Linked DNA regions of Alligator mississippiensis. The protein of the gene in region 1 interacts with the protein of each later gene in a pairwise test. Links are inferred from orthologs where the notes say so. Each region holds a gene or a part of one and is shown in the gene's direction. Other genes may lie near its edges.

What was found.
Region 2: the proteins of CEP57L1 (region 1) and KATNAL1 interact in binary tests that used the Homo sapiens proteins (3 or more experiments, as listed by UniProt). The two-hybrid records come from large-scale screens. The link is inferred for Alligator mississippiensis from reciprocal best matches to the Homo sapiens genes CEP57L1 and KATNAL1.
Region 3: the proteins of CEP57L1 (region 1) and RAD51D interact in binary tests that used the Homo sapiens proteins (3 or more experiments, as listed by UniProt). The two-hybrid records come from large-scale screens. The link is inferred for Alligator mississippiensis from reciprocal best matches to the Homo sapiens genes CEP57L1 and RAD51D.

The regions. Positions count from the first base shown.
Region 1 is NC_081824.1:94,830,181-94,837,814, forward strand, and holds the start of CEP57L1 (centrosomal protein CEP57L1), read left to right. Parts: upstream 1-4,633; 5' UTR 4,634-4,743; intron 4,744-7,634. UniProt on the Homo sapiens protein: Centrosomal protein which may be required for microtubule attachment to centrosomes.
Region 2 is NC_081824.1:426,266,817-426,273,735, forward strand, and holds the start of KATNAL1 (katanin p60 ATPase-containing subunit A-like 1), read left to right. Parts: upstream 1-3,909; 5' UTR 3,910-4,016; intron 4,017-4,349; exon of another isoform or gene 4,350-4,704; intron 4,705-6,919. UniProt on the Homo sapiens protein: Regulates microtubule dynamics in Sertoli cells, a process that is essential for spermiogenesis and male fertility. Severs microtubules in an ATP-dependent manner, promoting rapid reorganization of cellular microtubule arrays.
Region 3 is NC_081837.1:26,422,210-26,429,581, reverse strand, and holds the start of RAD51D (DNA repair protein RAD51 homolog 4), read left to right. Parts: upstream 1-4,362; 5' UTR 4,363-4,439; intron 4,440-4,671; exon of another isoform or gene 4,672-4,775; intron 4,776-4,846; exon of another isoform or gene 4,847-5,193; intron 5,194-5,291; 5' UTR 5,292-5,360; coding exon 5,361-5,442; intron 5,443-7,372. Other genes in the region: UNC45B (protein unc-45 homolog B), read right to left, coding at 4,011-4,097. UniProt on the Homo sapiens protein: Involved in the homologous recombination repair (HRR) pathway of double-stranded DNA breaks arising during DNA replication or induced by DNA-damaging agents. Bind to single-stranded DNA (ssDNA) and has DNA-dependent ATPase activity.

The DNA.
Region 1 (7,634 bases):
CCTAATTCTCCACACAGAATTAAACCTAGTTTTACAAGTCCCACTCCAGCCAATGGACCACACTTCTGATTTTATGTACAGCCCCCAAAGAAGGAATTCTACATCTGGTAAAATGAGAGCTGGAGGAAATCTTAAAATATTTTCAATCAAGTATATTTGATTTTATATATGTGCATAATTCTGTTGCTAGATCCTAGTAATACTGTACCTAGATTTTTCTTGCATATCTCTGCAGTCATGTACCAGTCTGTGGACAAACAACTGCCCAACTCTAAAACTATTGTGCTTTATACTGAGAACTCCAATCCATGACATTTTGTGAAAAAAAGATTTGCACAACTTAGTATAGAAATTGCTTTTCACCTCTAATTTTTATTTTTTATTTCCTTTTCCTAAAGAACTGAATGCTAATTGTAATGTATTGTAGATCAGCTGGAAAAAATCATTTTTCTTCATTCTGCCTTTCAAAAAGCAAGGTACTTATTTTATTCCAGGGTGCATTGTATATGAGAAAATATGGTATGTACACATACCTATTTTTTCTTTCCTCTTTGATTTTGTTGCAAGTGAGGTAAAGTTACTAAGCATTTTCTTTTTTTCTCAAGGCAGAAAAGTCACCGGACAAACATTTTTTCATGACTCTTTGGCTGAAGAGTAAAAGAGTTTCAGCATACGAAGCTCCACAATAGTTTGAACCAAAGAATATTGAAGCTTGCTCTGTTCTCCGTCACATATTACATTTCTAGTAGGAGAAGTGCTGCTGTTCCACTAGAAGTTGTCAGAGTGCAAATGTTCATTCAATTTCTCATGGAGAAAACATGCCCCGTCCATAAGAAAAATGATTCACTTTGACACCTGGAAGATCTCTCCTGCCCTGTAAGAGTATCCTCTGCTAGAATGCAAAACTCTAGAACTCTTTGTTCAGAAATGATACTTTTTATCTGACCAACTAAGAAATCGCAAAAAAAAAAATCTTTTTCTGCAAGCTTTTGGGCTCTCATGCCCTTCATCAAGCTCAGGAAAACACTTGTCCACTTTCACTTGACTTCTCCATGATGGGAAGGAGTTGAGCAGATGCTTCCCCTGTGCCTTCCCCAGACCAGGGGGACTCCAGTCTGGAGAAGGTGCTGAGACATTTATCTGTAGCATGACTCCTCCCGGTCAGGGGGATCCCAGTCTGGCGAAGGCTTGGAAAACAGTGGCAGCTCAAATCCTCCTGATCACAGGAGGAGTCATGTTGCTTCCCCAACACCTTCTCCAGACCAGAACTCAACTCTTCTTGTGGTTGGTAGGAGTTGAGCTGCTGTTGCTGTCCACAAGCCTTCCCCAGAGCAGGGTCCTCCTGATTCCTACTGATTATGGGAGGAGTCCAGCTGCAGCTGCCCCCACCGCTCCCCACACTGGGGTGGGGGGTGGGACTTGGACTGGGGAGGGCATGGAGAGGAGGGGAAAAGTGGTAGCTGTATGCTGGAATGCCTGTACTTTTCCTCTTGGGAAAATTTCTACTGCTGCAAATATCTGATTCTTCTCTCTAAATTTTCTTCTAAAAATTCCCTGCTCCCACTAGGTCCCTCATTTAACAATTTAACATTTAGTCACATCCTTAAAATTAATTTAAGCACATGCTTAAATGCATATGTTGCTGACCTTGGGCCTAGGACTAATTTAGCTCCAGTACTTAGAAATAGCGGGTCTACAAGTGGAACTCCCAAGTTTCTAGCCTGTTTGTCTTGGGGAGATTACAAGAATGCAAAATCTTTTAACGTGCTCTGATCAGGATTATAGTACACTGTTGTTAAATGGTGGCGGCAGGATTTTAGTGACTGCCGTAAGTTATATCGCAGTTTATCTACAGCAAGGCTGAGGTCTGTCTACAGTTGATTCCCCCCCCTCCACCTCAAGTACCGGGCTAAGGCCTTCTTTCTGTGCCTATTGCCATGCCATGATTAAATTTCAGAGGACCTATCAGGATAGATTCTCCAGCTGTTCAACCTTTCTCATACTTCTTGGAGGAAAACAAGAGGGAAAAACAAATGAGACATCAATTTGAATCATGTCAAAAACAGGCCTCTAAGTCCTTTAACAGCTTCGTTTGGATCATTGTGACAAAGCTGCAGCCAGTATACTGGGAGTTTCTTGGTCCTGCCTCTGTTGTAGCAATTCATTTAAATTTTTCTTGTAATGTGTTAGATAAACAGTGAATCATTTCTTGGCATGTCTGAGTTTTTAGTATGTTCAAATGTGTTTGATCAGGATGAGCTGTTCATGCCTAGTAGGTCAATTTTTAAGATGGATATCTTTGTTTTCCAAAAGTACAATTTAGTCTCTTTGATTTCACTCTCCATAATATTTTGTTCATCTTTTCTTTTGTCTCTTCTAATAAACTACCATTAAAACCAAAGACACTTGCATTTTTAAAAAAAGTTTGCCTGATAGTCTACCATTTTAGACAAATTGGTACTTTTGGAAGGAGGATTAGATCTGAAACACACTGATGAAAATAAGTGAAGGACAACTATACCAACAACTTAAATTTCCTATCCTATGTGTACTCAGTGTGACTGCTACGCTAACACCATTCTTCCTAACCAGTAAAATTCACACAACCAAAACCTTCAATATGTGCTGTTTTCATTAACTAGTAGAACTACACTTGTGGTGACTCACTTCCAGACTTCTCCCTATAAAGGCATATTTTATGTAAAAGTTATATGTCCTTGGTTATAAAGGGGTCATAACTGGATGTTAGGCCGCACCCAGCCTATTAGTGGTATCTATTAAGTCATTATTACAGACCTGGTTATTTGTCCTGAAAGGCTATAACTACTTCCTTTACAATACAGCTATGTTATATACTCCATGTGTTGGGTTCCCAATATTCCCAAAGCAGTGGTTCCCAACATTTTTGCCCCATGGAATGTGTGGACAGTGCCAGGCCAGATCCAGCCTGTGGGCTCAATTTGGCAAATACTAGGCCCAGAGTGCAAGGCCCCAACCAGCCACAGGGGTGTATAGCCCAACCTTGATCTCAGCCCAGGGAGAGGCAGGGAGTGTCCCAGTCTCTATCTGGATATGTGGGGAGAGGGTGGGACAGAGCAGCCCCAATCTGGATGTAGGGAGGTGTGTGCGGGGAGCAGCTCAGCTCTGAACTTGATGCATGGAAGGGGCAGGGGTAGGGTGGATAGGCCCCAATCTGGACCCACAGGAAGGGGATGTGGGGGTATGGGGGGAAGCAGCCCCTATTTGGACATGTGGCAGGGATGGGGAACAGCTCAGCCCAATCTGAACATGGAGGGGTTGGCCAGGCCCTGATACCAGTTTGCCACAATGGCCCAGGCTGGTCTGGACCCAGCCCTGTGGAACTTCTCCCAATCCCCAATGATAATTTTTCTGACCCATGGGGATTCCCAAAGGCTGGATGTCATAACTGTGTGGGCCAGATTTGGCCAGCAGGCCGGAGGTGGAGCACTCCTGTATTACAGCAGTGGTCCTCAATCTTTTTACTTAAGGCATCCCTCATTTAATCGAATCATAGAAAATTCAGGTTGGAAAGGACCTCAGGAAGTTATATAGTCCAGCCCCCTCCTCAAAGCAGGACCATCTTCAACTAGCATCCCAGCCAAAGTTTTGTCACCCCTGGTCTTACAAACCCTAAGGATGGAGATATTCTACAACCTCTCTAGGTAACCTGTTGCAGTGTTTTTCCTCCTATCTAACCTACATTTCCCTTGCTGCAACTTGAGGCCATTGCTGCTTGTTCTGTTATTTGCCACAGCTGAGAACAGCAGAGCTCCATCCTCTTTGGAACCCCCTTCACGTAGTGGAAGGCTGTTATTAAATCCCACCCCTGTCAAGGCACCCCCTCAAAATGCCAGCTCTTAATTTTCACTTGTTTTTTGACAGCAGAAAAACAATAGAATGAGGGGCATGGGCTGCTTAGGCAGCTCTCTTGTATAGGACTGACTACTAGTTGAGATGAAGTTAGACATGCTTTCCAATGCATGATACCTGTAGTGGAAAGCTTGTCTAACTATCCCAACTACCCAGTTGGCCCAATAAACACCAGCACCCTGAGCAGTCGGTGCCTCCCATCATTTCTGGACCATCGCAGCAGGGGTGGCACCATCCTCTTCCCAGCGGGGGGCTGAGGTGGGCTAGACAGAAAACTGGAGGGGCTTGCGCTATGCATTTTCTGGCCAAATACACTTATTTCTTTTTTTAACAATACCCACTTAAGGCCTCTGCAGGTGGGAGCGGGGTTGGTGGCATGGCTCAGAGCAGGGGGCTTGGACAGGGGTGGCTATGGGGGTGCTAAGGCAAATTTGGGGGTGACTATAGGCCCCCAAAGAAAAATCACAGGGCAGTTCTGTTGCAAAGAGCTCAGTCCACCGCGGGCCAGAGCCCGGCGTTTGCAGCGGGGCAGATTCTGCTGCGAAATCTCTGGGTTTCTCCTGCCAGCCCCGGTTGCGCCCCTGCAGCACCCTTGCGAGGATCCCCCAGCGCCCCTGGGTGCTGCAGCGCCCGGCTGAGAAGCGCTGTGGTAAAGGGAGACAGGGAGCACACCTCCCCGGCCCTCAAGCCCCGGCTCCTCTGCCCTGGACCCAGACGCCATGCCCTGCCCTGCCCGCGCCCGCCGCTAGGGGCGCGCAGGCCGCCGCTGCCGGGAGGAGCCGGGGGCGGCCCCGGGCAGAGGCGGGAAGGAAGGCGGCAGATTGAAACCCGCAGCAGCGCCGGGCGGAGCAGGTAACCGGGCCTGGCTCCTCGCTCGCCCCCCATGCACCCCGGGCCCCTGCCCTGCGCTGCGGGGAGAGGGAGGCCCGCGCCCGGGAGGAAAGGCCAGGCTTGGTGGCCCGAGTCGGCGGTGGCGAGAGCCCCCCGCGAGGCCGGTCAAGGGCGCTGGGAACAGCCGCTCCCTGGGGAAGGGCAAGGCCGGAGCCGCGGTGCGTCGGGAGAGACCTGGAGCCCGCTGGTCTGACCTCCAGGGAGATTTGCCCCTTGTCCACTGACGAAGGGGTGGGCGCACGCCACGAAGCGATCTTGGGCCCACAGCCCTTGGGCGCTAGGGCTCGACTGTAAGGGGCAAATCAGCAGCTCTAAAGGGGAAGCCCTGGGAGGCTGTCTCCTGTAATCTGCCCTCTCCATCTGTTTGAATCCCCACATCTGCCTCTAGCCCATCTCTTCATCTAATCGGTGGTGCTGGTGCTTTCTCCTCCCCTGGAGGTGTTTAAAAGGAGATTAGACAAGTACGTGGCTGGGGTTACTTGACCCCAGTGCTCTTTCCTGGCCAGAGCAGGGGTTGGACTCCATGATCTAAGTCCCTTCCAACCCTAGAAATCTGTCCATCAAATCTGACCTCTCAATCTACCTTAATCCCTTAAATTAATATAATCTCCAAAATCTAATCCAGGGGTGGGCAAAATACAGCCTTCCAAGGCATTTTGTCCAGCCTGCCTGGCCTAGGCACCAGGGGCAACCCAGGCCATGGCATGTGCGGCTGGTTGCACTGCCCGGGGCGTGCAGCAGGGCGGGGGTGGTGCAGTGACCAGATTGTTTCCTGGCAGTCCCAGTTGTGGTTCCTTCCAGCTGCCAGTCCCAGCTCCGCTGCCCTGGGACTCTGCACCCACGGCCAAGGGATGGACCCTCCTGGGCAGGGTGCATGGCTGGACAGATGAGAGAGGGCCGTGGGTGCATGGGGAGCCACGTCTGGGAGCGGGACAGACAGGTGGGGCCAGGGACTGGAATCAGGATTGTGGGGCAGTGACAGCGCAAGGGCCTGGGCAGAGCTACAAATCCACTGCCTGCACATCTCTGTAATGGGCTCCTTTTCCATGGGCAGGGACATGTGGGGAGCAGATTATGGCACGGCCCCAGGTCCCAGCCCCGTGCTGTCACCACCTCACAATCCTGATCCCTGGCCCGGCCCCATCCCCGCCAACCAAGTCCCAGATGCAGCTCCCCATGGCCCCATCCCATCCTCCTGGGTGCATGTCCTGCCCATGCAGGCCCTGGCTAGTCCCCATGGACACCCTGGGGTCACAGAGCAGTGATAACATGGGGCCAGGCCCAGGGTAGAGCTGCAATCTGTTCCCTGCATGCCTCTGCCTGCAGAATCTGTGCCTGTTGCAGGGGTGTGCGGGGAGTGGATTGTGGTTTGGCCCTGGGCCTGGGCCCTCCGCTGTCACTGTTTTGCAATCCTAATCCCAGCCATGGTCCTGCTCACCTATCCCGCTCCCAGGTGCTGCTCCCCACCTCCCTGTAGCCCCATCCCAGCCTCCCCGCCACATGCAGGAGCCAGTTAGGGAGTTTTAGTGAGCTGTTGTGGGGTGCGGGTGCTGGTTTTGCCTGTGACAACTCACTAAAAATGCCTAAGTAATCCTCTAGCCAAAATAATTGCCCACCTCTGGTCTAATCCGATCTCTTAATCTACCTTAATCCCATTTTAATCCAATCTAGTCTCTTAATCTAACCTGGCACGATAATCTAAATTAATATAATCTCTTAACATAATCTGATTTCTTAGACTGGATTAAATTAGACTCGAGCTAGTCCAAAAGGTCAGATTAGATTATGAGACTAGATTAAATTAGATTCTTAATCTGAATGGCTCTCTTAATCTATTCTGATCTAATCTGTTTACTTTGGTTAGTCTATAAGGTACAAATCTAGCCTGCCTTCTACTTGACTTCAGACTAACCTGGTTAACTACATCTTTCCCTACCAGAATTACAGACAGGTCACCCTACCACCAGGGCTTTTTCTTTAGATCTGTAGATTTGCCTATTATAGATTAACCAAAGCAGATAAATATAGCCCAAGGTTTTGAGGGCCCAAACTCACTTTGTCAGATGCACTGACTATTTTGGTTAGTTTATAAGGGGCAAATCTACCCTGCCTTCTCCCATTGGGAGTCTGACCTGAACTCTTTTGTTCTGTGAGGGAGGTGAATGCAAGTGGAAACCTCAAACTTCCCTAATGGAGGTGAATGTCATCTCTATTGTGATGTTGTGTGCTCAAATAACACATCAGTTAGAAAGGTGTCTCCATAACAGGAAAAAAAATTAATTTGTGCCTTCCTTTGAGGCACAAGATGTCCTGAAATTTGTATCTCTTCTTCCCCATCCCATCCCATAACACCCCTTCCTTGCCACCCTACTTATTTTAGAGATGCCTGAAATGTCAAATCTGGCTTCTTTTAAGTTGGTTTACCTATATTCTGTCAATGGGATGGGGTGTTTGCATTAAAAAAAAATCTTCCCCACTTAATCTAAACAGTTATTAACCAATTAAAGTATAGCATTTATACTTAAACATCACTTCCCCTAGGGAAGTTTTGTTTGTTTTCCAATGGCAATATTTAACCAGCTAACAATAGGGAGCCTGCTGGGGAAACCTGGATAAATCAGATTTTTATTTCCAAGGCAAAACACTTTTCAGGATGGAAACAATTCTAGGTCCCTTTTACATACTGATTTGAAAAATGCCCAGCGTAACTTTTTCCCTTTTTTCCGTTGTTAAAAATATAAAGGTTATCTTCGAAAGTCCGGGCTTTGTTGTACTGGTGCCTGTAAAACATATAATAAAAAACAGTATCCTGTCCTGAGACACAGCAGACAAAAAGAACAAAGGATAAGATA
Region 2 (6,919 bases), about 330 Mb from region 1:
AGGGAGGAGTCGCATGTGAGAATTCTTACGTGTGATATGTGTGTGCAAGAATTCTCGCATGTGGTCCCTCAGCTTTGTACACACACGGGTCCTTGTACACACAAAGTGGTGGGGTCCCCAACATCACACCTGCCCTCAGGCCCCATAAACCCTCAGGGCGGCCCTGATGAATTCACCAAGAGCTAGTAGTCATGCCTGACCTTTGCCACCAGAAGTCCACCCTCCCCTCTCTCCCTCCTCCTCCCCCCCACTGCCAGAAGCACTCCTTTTGGGAGAGGGAGTTTGCCACCTTGGAATCTGAAAAAAAAAATCGTATACTAAAAACTAAACATCTACTATAACATATTTTAATTGTATTTTAAAATATTTTTGTCCTGATTTAGATCTATTTGCATAGTGTACATAGAGGTCATTACATAATAGCTCAAAATAAAATTGTACTCTTGTATATTGTGTGTGTGTGTGACAGGGGTGGGATTTGTGGAGGTGTGTGTGTGTGAGGTTTGTGAAGGGATGTGGGGCTTTGTGGGTGTCCAGGCAGGCACTGTGCGACCATGTGCGGCTCCCCACTGGAGTGGTGGAAGTCTCACATGGAGGCACAGAGCCGCACCATCGGCCTGGCCCAATGGCACTCAGCTCCCACCTGCAGTGTCAGGAGCCCCATGTGTTGGCATGGAGCCAGCCTTGTTTGGTTTGAAGGTGTGCACCAGCATGCAAGGTTGGGCAGGCTCCATGCCACCACGTGCAGCTCTCAGGATTCAGCCAGAGCTGTGCACTGCTGGGGGGCTCTGCCTGCAGCGGGCCAGGAAAGCCCTGAGGGCCCACCACCTGCTGCTGCCACTGCCAGCAGGAGCTGTGCACCATGGCAGAGGGGCCCACCCCCACCCACAAACCCCACCCCCACTTCTGCAGGCAGGAGCTCTCCTTCTCACTCACCAGCTGTCCAATAGTGTGCCATCACATTCAGTGCCTCTACATGGGGCTCCCAGATGAAGTGCCAGGAGCCCCACAGAGGTGGAAGCACAAAGCCTGCCCAATCCAATGGCACACAACCTTTGAAAGCTCACCTCCCACTGGCTTGCAGAAGGGCAGCCATGGGCTGGTAATAATTGTTTTATGGAGGGGCCCCATGGGCCAGACAGAGTTGCTTGGCGGGCCAGATCCAGTTCACGGGTCGTATTTTGCCCAGCCCGGGACTAGACTAAAGTACTGTAAAGCGGATACAAAGCTGGCTGAATCATTGTGCTCAATGAGTAGTCCCCAGTGGCTCAGTCTCTAGTTGGAAGAATAAATCTAGTGGGGGTCCCCAGGCATCTGTCCTAGGTCTGGTACTGTTCAACATCTTCATTAATGATTTGGATGATGGGATTGAGAGCACCCTTAGCAAATATGTAGATGACATCAAGTTGGGTGGAGCTGCAGAGCCTCTGGAGAGTGGGCCTAGGATCCAGAATGTCAGGGACCCTAACCAGGTAGCCCAGCCTGGGTTGATTGCCTGGGCAGCCCCACCTGCCATAAGTCTCTGGCTGACAAGCTCTGGCCCAGGTGAATGAGTGACTTCCTGATTCATGCCTGAGTGTGCTGCCCATCCATGTTGCCCCAGCAGCAGAGTCCCAGGCCAGTCAACAGTTCTGATCCAGTGTACTTGGGCAAGCCTTCTGGTTGCTGTGCTCACTGGCTTTCCTGGCTCTTGACCCCAGTTTGGCTCTGTTCTCAGACTTTGACCTGTGGATTATTCCTGAGACTTGGTAACTTGGCTTCTGATTTCTAGACCCTGATTCTGACCCTGACCTTTGTTTTTGGACTCTGCCCTTGGATTTTCCCTCCAGACCTGGTGATTTCGCTCCCAAACTCTGACCCAGCCCCTGCCTTCTGTCAATGGCTTAACCATTAGGCAAGACCACATACAACTTGGTCCCTAACACAGAATGACCTGGATTGACTGTAACAATGGTCCACAATCAGTCAGATGCGATTGAACAAGGACAAGTGCAAATTCCTGCATTAGAACAGAATACCTGCATGCACAAACACAGATGGGGGAATGAGTAGCTAGGCTGCAGTACTGTAGATAAGGACCTGAAGGTTCCTGTGGACCATAAACTAAATATAAGTCAGTGGTGTGCTCTTGTCACAAAAAATACCAACACCATACTGGGTTGTATTAACAGGAATGTCAATTGCAAATCAAGGGAAGTGATTCTTCTGCACTATATAGCATTGGTGAGGCCTCACCTGGAGTACTGTGTCCAGTTTTGGGTCCCACTCTTCAAAAAAGATGTGGACAGGTTGGAAAGGGTCCACCACAGAGTAACAAAAATGATTAGGAACCTGGGAAGCATGGCTTATGAGGAAAGGCTGAAAGAGCTAGGACTATTTAGTCTGGAGAAGGAAAGACTGAGGGGAGATTGGATAACAGTTTTCAAATACATGAAGGGTGATTATGGAGAAGATGAAGAGCCCCTCTTTTACATAGCTGTAGGTAGGGGATAGGACTAGGAGCAATGCCCTCAAACTGTTGCAGAGGAAACTCAGGTTAGAGATTAGGAGTCATTTATTTTCTGATTATGAGAGTGTTCAAGCATTGGAACAGCCTACTTAGAGAAGCTGTAAAACCTCCATTCTGATAAATTAGACAGACATTGCCTGGGATAGTTTAGTCAGGGATGAGTCTGCCTTGAACACTGCTCACAGAGATACTAAATGACCTTCTGAGGTCCCTTCCAGCCCTAATTTTCTATGCTCCTATGTGATGTTCTGTAGTTTAGGGCAGGGGTTCTCAACCTTTTTAAAGGAGTGCACCCCTTCTGGTGGGTATCCCTGTAACCCCTTCCAGACCAGGGGGAGGGGGGTGCTGATGAACAGATGGATGTGAAGCGGGCACCGCATGGCAGCATGGGGAAGTGGTGCATGGCAGTGGTGCAAAGTGGTGAATGACTGCAGCGGGGGGTGGGGAGCTTACATGCAGCAGCCACCGCCACCATTCACCTTTCCATGCTGCTGCGCGCTGCTTCCCCACGCCACCATGCATACCCCCTGGGGCTGTCCCTAGTACCCCCAGGGGTATGCATACCCCTGGTTGACAACCCCTGGCTTAGGGGAAAGAGTGCAAGCCCAGGTGTAACCCTATATCATCTACTGAAAAACACCAAAAACTTGATTGCAAATGAAGATCTCCTTGTGCTACCCTTAGGGAAGTAACTATAATTCATGTTTTATAAAGAACTAAGAGCTGACACATAGTCTTGTCAGGCACAGTTGGGAAAAGCTAATCACTTTGCAACACTGCTTTACAGGAAGAAGATCCTAAATTAGGCACTTGGTTTAGCCGCGTGTTTCACTAGCTGGAATCTCACATGCTTTATGACTGCTCCTTCTTCCCTGCGAACAAAGCTGCTAAGAGCAACCTTTTTTCCCTTCTAAGAGCTGCCTTCTGTTGTTTATATTAAGTCACAGAGATACTGGCTTCCACATTTAGTGATAATAGATGACTCAGCAGGTGTTACATTTGGCGTGGTTGTCTGTAACCACTAGGAGGTATTTTGGTCCCAGACACAGAAAATAAGACTCCTAACATTCAGTGCTCCCCAGGAGCAAAGTATGGGTCAGTCCACATGAAGGACAGCAGCCTGCTTTTCTTCCCCAATTATCCGCGTGGAAGTTTTTTAACCCTGGTTCTGCCGTGGGGCAGTCAGACCCCATCGAGAGGTCTGTTTATTAATGTTTATTTGATTTCCTTAGGCCGACACGGCTACAACCAACAGGCTTGGTAGGCTTTCTGCCCATGTCCGGAAGGGCCTTGACCCTGGCAATCAACCCGAGCTCCCCGGGGCCGCCAGGACAGGGGGGGCGGGGCCGGCCGCGGGGGGCGGGGCCGCGGGTCGCCGCAGCGCGGCGTCCTCTCCCCTCCCCCGTCTCCATGGCAACGGGCGCCGCTGCCTGGCGGAGCTCGCGGGCCCCCCCACCCCTCGGGCGCGCTGCAGGGCGAAGGCGGTGGCGACGGCGGCTCAGCCCAGGTAACAGCGCGGCGGATCCGCGGGCGGCGGCGGGCGCGACAAACAAGCCCATTAGAGCGGGGGGCGGCGGCGGCGGCGCGAGCCGGCTCGGGCACGCAGCCTTCCCCCGCGGTGCTGCGGCGAAGGGGGCGCGGGAGGCTTGTGCCGCGGGGCACGCTGGGAGATGGAGTTCTCCGGCTCGCGGCTCTGCGGGGGTCTGGGCGAGGCGCGGGCGGCGGGAACTGCAAGCCCCAGCGCGCCCCGGGCCGGGCCTGGGTGGCGCTGGCGGAGGCCCAGGCCTGGGCGCGGCCGTGGCCGCGGGGCCCAAGTAACGGTGCTGGGGCGGGGGAGGCCTCTGGAGCGGGGGCTCGAGCTCCTCCATCCCCGCCCTGTGGCTTGGGGGGCCGTGGCCCTCCTGCCGCGTTTCTCGTGGCTCCCCCTTGAGTGCTTCCCCCCCGCACCTCGGCAGGGAGGTGCAGGACCCAGAGGAGGGTTCAGGCAGGGGCGGCGGGATGATGAGCCCTGGAGGGGCGTCCATGTGGGGAGAGACTGCAGGGGCCAGGCCTAATGTGTTGAGAAAAGAGAGGCTCGTGGCGAGCACCAGGAGGGCTGACAACATGCTGGCTGGTGGGGAGAGCATCGACAGGGATTTGCTACCGGCTGTCCCCCAAGGCGAGAACTGGGGGTTGCAACACGAACGGAGTGGGCAGTAAGTTTAAAACTAATGGCAGGGGTGTGGGTTGTAGCTGTGGTGGTTTATGAACATAGGCAGACAAGGTGCTCTGCGTAAATCTGATGTCCAGTAAAAGAGACCCAACAACCCGTGTCAAACTAACCCTAGGAAGTTCCTCTTCACGAAGAGCGTCAGGTAGCCGGGACCTCGCTGCCCTCAGGTGCTGCGGATGCTGACAGCTGAGCCCGGTTCAGAAAGGGATGGGACACGACATGTTTTTGGAGGAAAGGGGCATTGGTAGCTGTTGAGCCCAGACGTTAGGGATGCGGCCTCTGAATGAGAACTTTCTAGACCTTAAATGCTGGAGGCTGCAAATGAGAGAGCAAGGGGGAAAAACCCTGGTCACACCCAATTCACTCTCCCTTTCAGCATCTACTCCCTGCCCCTGAGTGACACAGGCTACTGGCAAGACAGACCTATGGTCTGACCCAGTAAATGGCAGTTCTTGAGTTCTTAAAAGCTTAGGAAATTACATGCAAAAATTAGTATTAAAAGAATGTCACTGGGGTTACAAAGTCAAGCCCTCCAAAGTTGGCAGTGCTGGAGTTGAAGTTGCCAGGCAAACCTTGCTTGGATGCCTTGGCTGCATCTATAAAGGAGGCTGACTGCGCAGTTTATACAAGTATTAAATGACTGCAGTAACGCTGAGGAATGGCTTTCATGACACTGACTGTGCAGTAGCTCATGACTACTGCGTAGTAGCATTGCATCATGCTTCCTGACACATGACACTACTGAGCAGTAGTCACGGACCCCTGCATCTCATGCAGACACGGCACTTGTATCTGTATATTCTGATGCCAAATACACAGTCACACAGTTTTTCCACAGGCTTCTCCCAAAGGCCTCGGGGCTTCTTTCATGATCAACTGTTTCAGTATTTTTTCCCCTTGTTCAGTACATGATCCCATGCCTTAATTACAGCCTTTTTCAAACCATAGGCTGAAGACAGTTTTCTCATTAGCTTACCTACAGGATCTGGGCTCTTTGCAACCATTGATAGCTTTCTTTTCACAACATCCTTTTGAGAAAAGTGAGTATTATCCCTTTTTCACATAGGGAAATGAAGGTATGAGAAATTAGGAAAAATGTGTCCACTAGTTCTGGGCACTGTGCACTGTTCAGTCAGTGCCTGCGTTCCAGTTTATGCAATGATTATGGCCCCTTCAGTCTATGTAAGATTTGAAGGTTTGGCTTTTCCTAGCCCATCCACACAACTGGCAGGTTTTTTCTAGGTTCTAATCATTGTACACTACAATTACTGTGACGTATTTTTCTTTGGCCTTGAAAAATATAGGGTTTTTTCCTGCTCAGATCTATACTGACTGCTGTTGCTTCTTGCTTTGATCAGGGCATTCCTCTCCGCATGCCTCTACTAGCTCCCTCTTGTTTCTCACATCAGACATAAGCTACTCATTTTCACTTTGAAAGTTTTCCATGGCCTGCCACTCCCCACCAGCCCCACCATTTGCTGTGAAAATGTGAGCTCCCATACCTGATTAACCCAGGATACCCACATTCATTGTGTGCCCGTTACATTTTTAAGTGCAAATCATTGTGCTTTCTCCTAATCTGTTCCTCCTGTGGGGAGAAGCCTCACAGGGGAGTAGACATCATAAAGCTATTTCATTTCAGATTCCTTCTTAACATTCTCTTTTGCCATGATGGCTACAAAAATACTTAACAGGCTGCTAGTGTACAAGAGCACTGCCTATCATGCTGACCAGCGCTGTCACAATGTACTCTCCCATCTGTTTGTAGCCATCTGCTATGTTTTGTCTTATGCTTAGGTTGCAAGCCTTGCGGAGTGAGGATAGAGTTTTGTGCTGTGTTTGTCCAGTACCTAGCAGGAGTTTCCCAGTCTACGATTAGAATGTCTAGGCGCTACAGTAAGACAAAAAAAAATGAGAACAAAAGGTTTTGTGCAACCTCATTCACTCCCCAACCTTGATTCATCCCCAAAGCACAGCTTTGCTGCATACCGAACGAGGCAGGGCTTATTTGGAAAACCTACGTTGTAATCCTTTACTAATTAACAACTATATCATAATGCACATGCACAAGAGGGCTGAGTTAAGATTACACAGGCAACCTTAATTCTATCACTTCCTAACTTTTAAGCAGTCGACTTTGCAGCCTTAATGTTTTATTTAGCCTGTGTGTAATTTAATTAGAAAAACATCCTGCTAAA
Region 3 (7,372 bases), on another chromosome or scaffold:
AAAAGACCCTTTTTAAAAGAAGATACTTAGGAAGCCTCCTCCTACCAGAGAACCAAAATATATTTCAAACACCTGCAGTCATAGAAAAGAGCTGAAATATGGGATATTTAAACAAAAGAAATGCAGAGTCAGGATGATTGACCCCCCCTGCTTCAATACACAGACCCCCTTCCTTTTCTATTTAAGGAAGCACAAGACATTTGAGCCTTAGGAACAAATGGTTTGATTCCTGTGTTGGAACAAGAGACCTGACAGCAGCTGAAACAGCCAGACTCTCCCAGCACCTTCCAGAACTCACTTTAGAAAGAAATCCCATTCACATGTCCAGTGCTTCCTTCTCTTTGCAGTTTTGCATCACACCTAAAATGGTAGGAGCCCAGAAACATCTGTGTGCATATCTAGCTTTGTAGATTCTCTAGATATAGAACTGCACTCACTTTAGGGTCCCTATTATAAAGGTTCCCAATCACCAGGCTGCAGCCTGGTACTGGGCTGTGAAGGGCTGGCTGCTGGGTTGTGGCACAAGACCCCTGCTTGGACCCCTGTCTGTCCTCCCGGGCAAGCGGCTTCTGCCACCGACAGTCACATGTGGGGTTAAAGCTGGGTGGCGGGGCAGCCCCAGGAGGGAGGCAGCTGGCTCTGTGTACCCAGCTCCACTCCTGTCCCGGTCTGCAGTACAAAAAAGGTTGGGAACCACTGCCCTATTATATATAAGCTGTCTGGGAGCCCTGGCAGGGTGTTATGCTTTCAGTGACTTGTCCCATTCGGGTGGGTCACAAAACTGGTGGCACGGTACCTGGCACAATAGGCTGTGTGAGGCTTTCCTATTTAAATGGAATGTTTGCAACACTAGTATAATGTTTTATATATGCTGAAGACTTCAACTCTCCTAGAAACAGGGCTACAGTGGCCATTTTAAAATTAAGAATGAAAAAGACACACCAAACAGAAAAATGTCTATGTATCCAAGACTATGATAACATACCAAACAGGGATTCCTTCATCAGAAGCACTATAGGCAGCCTGCTCAGAGGAGGAAGAGTAGAGCACTGATTTGAAAGATAAAAGGTATAGGCATATGATAGGTATGAGGGTGAAAACATTTTGGGTAAAACAGAAACAAAGGATTTTGGCTGTTCAATGAGAAATCTAACCAAAAACTCAGTACTGTCAAAGCAGCCCTAAGGAGGGTAAAACCTGGGCTGTCTTAGATTTTATATAGGTTTTTATACTACACTTATTACCATGGCATCTACACACCTTCCAGAATTGGATCAGGTAACAAAATTAACATCTCACATATATTTGTTCCTTCCTTCTCACTTCAGAGTCTGGTATATGCAATGGAGTGCTTTGCACCTATACATTTGTTGCTTTATTTAGAAAAAGCAAGAATGAAGCACACCTTTACTTCAGGGTGGAAAGTCAGGAGGCTTGTACTGGGAGTTAGCTCCTGTGGGAGTTCATTCTCCAGCCTCAGACAAGCCCTCACGTGGCCAGGTGGTGGAACTTTTGGAAGGGGAGACCAGATTTCAGTTTACATCCTGAGAAGCTAGTTTGAAGGGTTGAAATTAAGAGCCAGCCTAGTATATTTGTTGTGGCTCTTCTTACATTGCAAGAACCTGTTGCCAGCCTTGGCTATTTTCAAGGGGCCTAGGCTAAGCTGCAGAAATGCTGCTAAGCAGAAGGCCCAAAGCCTGTTTCTGAGGGACTGTAGTGTTTACTTTTGCAAATGTGACAATTAACTTGGTCAGCAAATAAAGGAAACCATCAAATACAATTAAACAAAGCACAAGGCCTAAAAGGAGATAAGACCATACATTAAATAATCCATATATGCTATATCATAGCTTTATCTTAAAATAGTAGTAGTAGTTGATGGCTAGGAAATGGTATCTAGAGGTTTGCTTTTTGGAACTGTAGGTAAAGGAGATATTGCCTTAGAACAGGGTTTTTCAACCTTTAAAAAAAAGTGTACTTTTGGTGGGGGGCTGGCAAGTGGCCAGATGTGGAGCGGGGTGGCGAGCAGCCAGATGTGGAGTGGGGCATAGATGAACCAAATTAGGAGGACATCAGAAAGAACCAAATTAGGACATGTGCATATGATGGGTTTGTGAAACAAAGGAATATGCAGACAAGACAAAACATGGACAGTATGATGACCAGGGATCCTAGTTTTCTCTGATTAAAAGTTGCAAATTCTCTGATTAAAAACCCAAATTCTGTGATAAAAATTAAAGGGCCCCCCACAGCCCCTCCCAGGGCTGTTGGTGCCTCGCACTCCACCCCCCCCGTCTCAACAGCCCTCCTGATGCCCCTCGCAACAGCCTGCCAGACCCACAGGCATGTAGACACAGATGCTGACACCTACCACAGCAGGTAAGTGTGTGGGGGGAAGGGACAGGGCAGGGCGGGGGAAAGGGAAGGTGCTGGGGGAATAGATGAAGAAGGCGGGGGGGGAGTGTGCCCCTGTGCCCACTCCCAGGAGCAAGGCTGGGGGGTGAGGGCAGGGTGCCACTCTGTGGGCTACACACATGCCGGCTGGCCTGACAGGAGGTTTACACATGGAGGCCACTACCGCAACTCTGCCACTGCACTCTGCGCTACCATCCCACGGCCACCTAACTGGCTTTGTGGGCAAGTGGTGCAGGGCGCGGCAGCAGCAGTGCAGTGGCAACCACCGTGTGTGGGCCACATATGTGCTGCCCAGCTGGAAGGTGAAATGGGGGGCTTGCATGCAGTGGCATGCCCAACTGGCTCCGTGGTGGTGTGGGGTGGTGGCAGCTGCATGCAGGGTGGGGGGGCTTTGTGGGCAAGCGCTGCTACTGTGGAGCCATGCCCCTTCACACCTGGATCCTAGAGGTGTGGGGCTTAGGGGCTGTGGGGCAGGGCTGGGGGCTGAGGGAACAAGGGGTGCTGCCAGCCCCAGCCGGCACATTGCGGTGGCGCAGGGTGCTGGTGGCTGCATGCCGCATGGCCACCACCATGCTGTTGCTGCCACCTGGCGGCTGGCTGCACAGCTCCAGGCACAGCACCGCAGCGGCAGTGGGAGGTTTTGGAGGCAGGGGCTGTCACCACCATCACGGACCTCCAGGTAAGTGGCAGTGGCGGCCGCGTGCAAGCCCAAGTTCCTGCTGTGGTTGCAGAATCGGCCATGGAGCTGTGCTCTGGCCGAATGCCAGCCTCCCTCTTCTCCTCCCCCAGGCAGCATGTGTGTAGCCTGCATATGGCAGGTACCACCACACCATGCCTCATGTCACTTGCCCGCAACGCCTCCCTGCAGAGGGGCACCCCTGCCCTCACCCCCTGGCCCTGCTCCCAGCTGCAAAGTGCCGCCTGGGGCCGGCAGCACCCCCTTCTCTCAGCCCCCAACCATCTTCCCAGTCCTGCCTCACAGCCCCACTTACCTCCATGCTCCAGGGGTGAAGGGCGAGTCTGAGTCAGATCCGCAGCCTGGCCTTGGCTGCTTCAGAGGCTCAGGTCCTGCCCTCCCCCCTCTCCTTCCCCTCCAGCCAAGGCTGGGGGTTTCCCACCCTTTTTGCAAATCAACTCTTGCAGGCTGGAGCTGTGCCACCCTGCAAGAGCTCTTTGCAAAATTGGATTTCTCTGCTAAAAAGAGAAATCTGCGTTTTCTCTGATAAAAACGGAATCTGTGGTTTTCTCTGTTTTTCCATGGGAAACAGAAAACCTGGATCCCTGCTCATCACCCGCTAGGGAAGGAGAATCTGCCAGGAGAAGGGGTTGATTAGAGATGTATCCCATCTGGGAGCAGAGCTGGCTTTCCACACCCCCTAGTTCTTTTGCTGAGCCTTGGAAACTGGTGCTTTTAAGTCGGAGACCAAGTTCAGTTCTATTTCCAATCATTGATGTTTCTGCAGCTTCCTTGTTACACAACCTTTGCTCTAGGATCTGAAGGAAGGTGTTCATGAGTTGTATATATGCTTGTTTCTAATATAATCCACTGGGTCCTAGTTTTAATAAACAAAAAGCTGTGAAAGGCTTTTTTTTACCCTCTTGTTGATGCCCAGCAAGGAGGGAACAGACTCCAGTTCTGATTTTATGCATGTGGTTATTTTTACTTGCATGAGCAGCCTCATGTGAGTCAGTGGAGCAACTCGTGTGACTTGAAACGAGCTCTGTGCAGAGGGACCCTTTGCTTGCTGGGGAATTTGCTGCAGGGTCAATGACTTCAGAGCCGAGCAGTGGAAGGGCGCAAAAACTCCCACCGAAGAAAACAGACTGGTGGCAAAACCAGGAGTTGGGGGAAGCTGTTGATACCTTTCAGTTGTAGGCCACAGTCCTACCACCAGCCAGGGGCTCACGGGACTTCACCCACCCGGCTCTGAAGGCAGGATCAGGAGCCTTGTGACTCTGGGGAGAGACTGTGCCAGTAGCAACCGGAACAGGATTAGCAAACGGGAGTAATTCACGTCTTTCAGGTGCTCCGGGGTCGCACGTGCAGGCCTAGTGGAAGCGAGATCCGGGCACGGCCGAGCGGGCAGCGAAAGGACGGGGCAGTGTTTCTCGGGGCTGGGATTTGTGGCGGCCCCCTCTGCAGCCGCCGCGCGGGGGAGCCGGTCGCGGCCCCGGAGCGGGCTGGGCGGAGGCGGAGGCGCAGGCGCAGGAAGTAGGAGGTGCCGCGCGGATGGAGGCGAGCGGTGGGGCCGCGGAGCCGAGCCGGATTTCCCTGCGCGCTGGGCTGGCGGGTGTCTGTGCAGGGCTGACTGGCGTGAAGCGGCCCTGGCTGCGCTGCGCGCCCAGCCCTGCGGAGCGAGGTGAGCGGGGGCTGGCGCTTTGCCCGCAGGCAGCCCGGGCTTTCCGTGGGGTTGCAGTGGCCCGACTGCTGCAGGGGCAGGGGCTTGCGCTCTCCGCTTTTTTTTGTCAGACTTGGCCCAGATGCGATGATATAAAGACGCGGATCGTGGGACTGTGCAGAGCCCTTTCCCCACTTCAGAGTTGGGGGCGAGTGCTGACTTCTCAGGACCCCGGTGCAGGGAAGCCCCAATCCCTGACTGGCACCTGTAGATGCTACTGCAAAGTACACCGCGAATAAGTTCATGTGCGACCACCTGCAGGGGCCAGGAGAGCTAACTAAGCAAGCCTGTAACTAGGCTCCTGGACCAGGCTCTGAGAGGGACTCTTCAATTTGGGGCAGAGTGGCCTGGCAGGCATCTACCGCGGTCGGAGCTCCTGGTGCGGGCCACGTCTTTGTTTCTCAAGGTGGGACAAGGCAAGGCCAGTGGCACCTCCGCGTTGCTGGATACAAACCCCTCCTCTTCTCTTCTGTGCAGGGTGCGTGTCTGCATGGTGTTCAGCCTCCCGTCTCCTGCGCCCTACCCCCCTGGGCACGTGGCAGGGCCATGGTGATGCTGCAGGCAGGACTCTGTCCTGGTCTGACGGCAGAGATGATCCAGCTTCTGAAAGCCAGTGGCATCCGAACAGGTAAAAGGCAGCCCAGAGTCTCAGAGCAGGACTCACCCCCCCCCCAGGGGGGGATGAATTGGGAATGGCAGAGGGCTCTCCCCCTTCCTAGGACCCCTGAGCCTGTTCTGATGGTCTGTGCTGTGGGGCAGCCCCTAGGAAGCTACTCCAGGTCCCAGCATGTTCTGTGCGCCTTGGTGGCTGGCTCAGAGTCTAACATTGCTTTCAAGGGACAGGACAGTGGATGTGGTTCATGCCTCACACAGCAGTAGCGGGGACTATGAAAATCCCCATGCTGTAAAGGCAGCCAGATCTGCCTATCTAATTCCTGACCTTGAACATGTTACTTTAGTACAGGGCTGGGCAATTATTTTGGGAGGAGGGCCGCTTACTGAGTTTTGGCAAGCCATCAAGGGCTGCAAGACAGGCCATCAGGGGCAAATAAATATTTTCTAATTTTTTTTAGGGGCACCATGGGCCGGATAGAATGGCCTGGTGGGCTGCAACCGGCCCACGGGTCACCTTTTGCCCACCCCTGCTTTAGTATTTGGAAGCTTGGCATATCTTGGATATTTGAAGTTATACTTTCTGCTAGGCCATTCCTTCTTGGTGCAGCACCCTCATCCCTGCTGCCATTGGGGAACGGGTAAGGCAGTTGTCCCCAGGGAGCATAATGACACCCGGTTCCACTTCTGATCTCAGCAGGGGTTGGTGGCTCTGAGAAGTGACTGAGGGCCTTGTTACTTGTCAGTTGTAGGTAGCTCCTGGAGCTCTTAACCCCAGCATTGTCCACACGTTAACATGTGAAACTAGTTTTAAGCACCCTTTAAGCAGCACAGCTTAAAAATGGACCACCTCAGCTTAGATTGAGCTCTGATCCATCTTACCCAGGTCACATTACACTTATGTTTAGCCACTCTAGGCTACAGCTTATTGTGAACACTCCCCCACCCCTGGTGGCCTGGATTGGATCCACTGCCCCCCTGGCCCCTCACCCCAGTTGAATCAGCACCCCTGTCCTCTACCAGCCATGATTGGCCTGCTGCCCCCTGGAATGGGTCCGCTGCTCTCCTGCAAGCCAAATCCCCATTCATCCCCCTTGCTGCCTCACAGCTTACTTTTGGCTGCTAGTGCTGCTCCAAGGGAGCAGGCAGTGACCCCCACTGCCAGCCCCTGCCACTGCTATCATTGCTCTCTGGACTGGGCTTAACCCAGAGAGGAGCTGCTGTGCATTGGCAGCAGTGGAGGTGGGGACCAGGCGGGGGTGTTCCCTTTCCCTGCCTATCCCCTGGGGACAGCACTGGCAGCTGAAAGTAAGGTGGGAGGGACGGGGGGATCCCTGGGGTGGGGGAGGGATGGGAGTGGTAAGGGGTGGAACCTGAGGGACAGGAGGAAGCCCAGAATGGGTGGGGAGGGGGCAGGATTCTTACCTTTTGGTCATCAGGGCCTCTGCTGGCTTGAACATAAAACTGCTTCAGACTTGAGCTAGCTGTAAGACTGATTGGCATTTGAGCAGCTCAAACTGCAATGTGTAACAAGGCCTTAAGACAGGGGTGGGCAAAGATGGCCTGCGGTGGACTCAGCCCCTGAGTTCCCAGCAGCCTCTGCCCACGTCAGTGTGGCTGCCTTTCATGCAGACCCCAGACGTGGTGGCACTGTAACAGCGTGGGACCAGAGTTTCCATGGAGGCCAGCCCCAGCAGCGCTGGCATGGCAAGCGGCTGGGCGGGGAGCTGCTTCGGGGCTGGGATTTTATGGTAGTGACAGCGTGGTCCAGAGCTGGGGCAGAGCTGTGATCCATTGCCCACATACCTTGGAGCAGCTCCCCATCCAGCTGCATGCCCTGCCAGTGCTGTTGGGGCCGGTCTCCACGGAAGCCCTGTCCTGTGCTACTGGGATCTCCGTGGAAACTGGCCACAGCAACGCAGGATGGGACTGCTGGGAAATGGTGT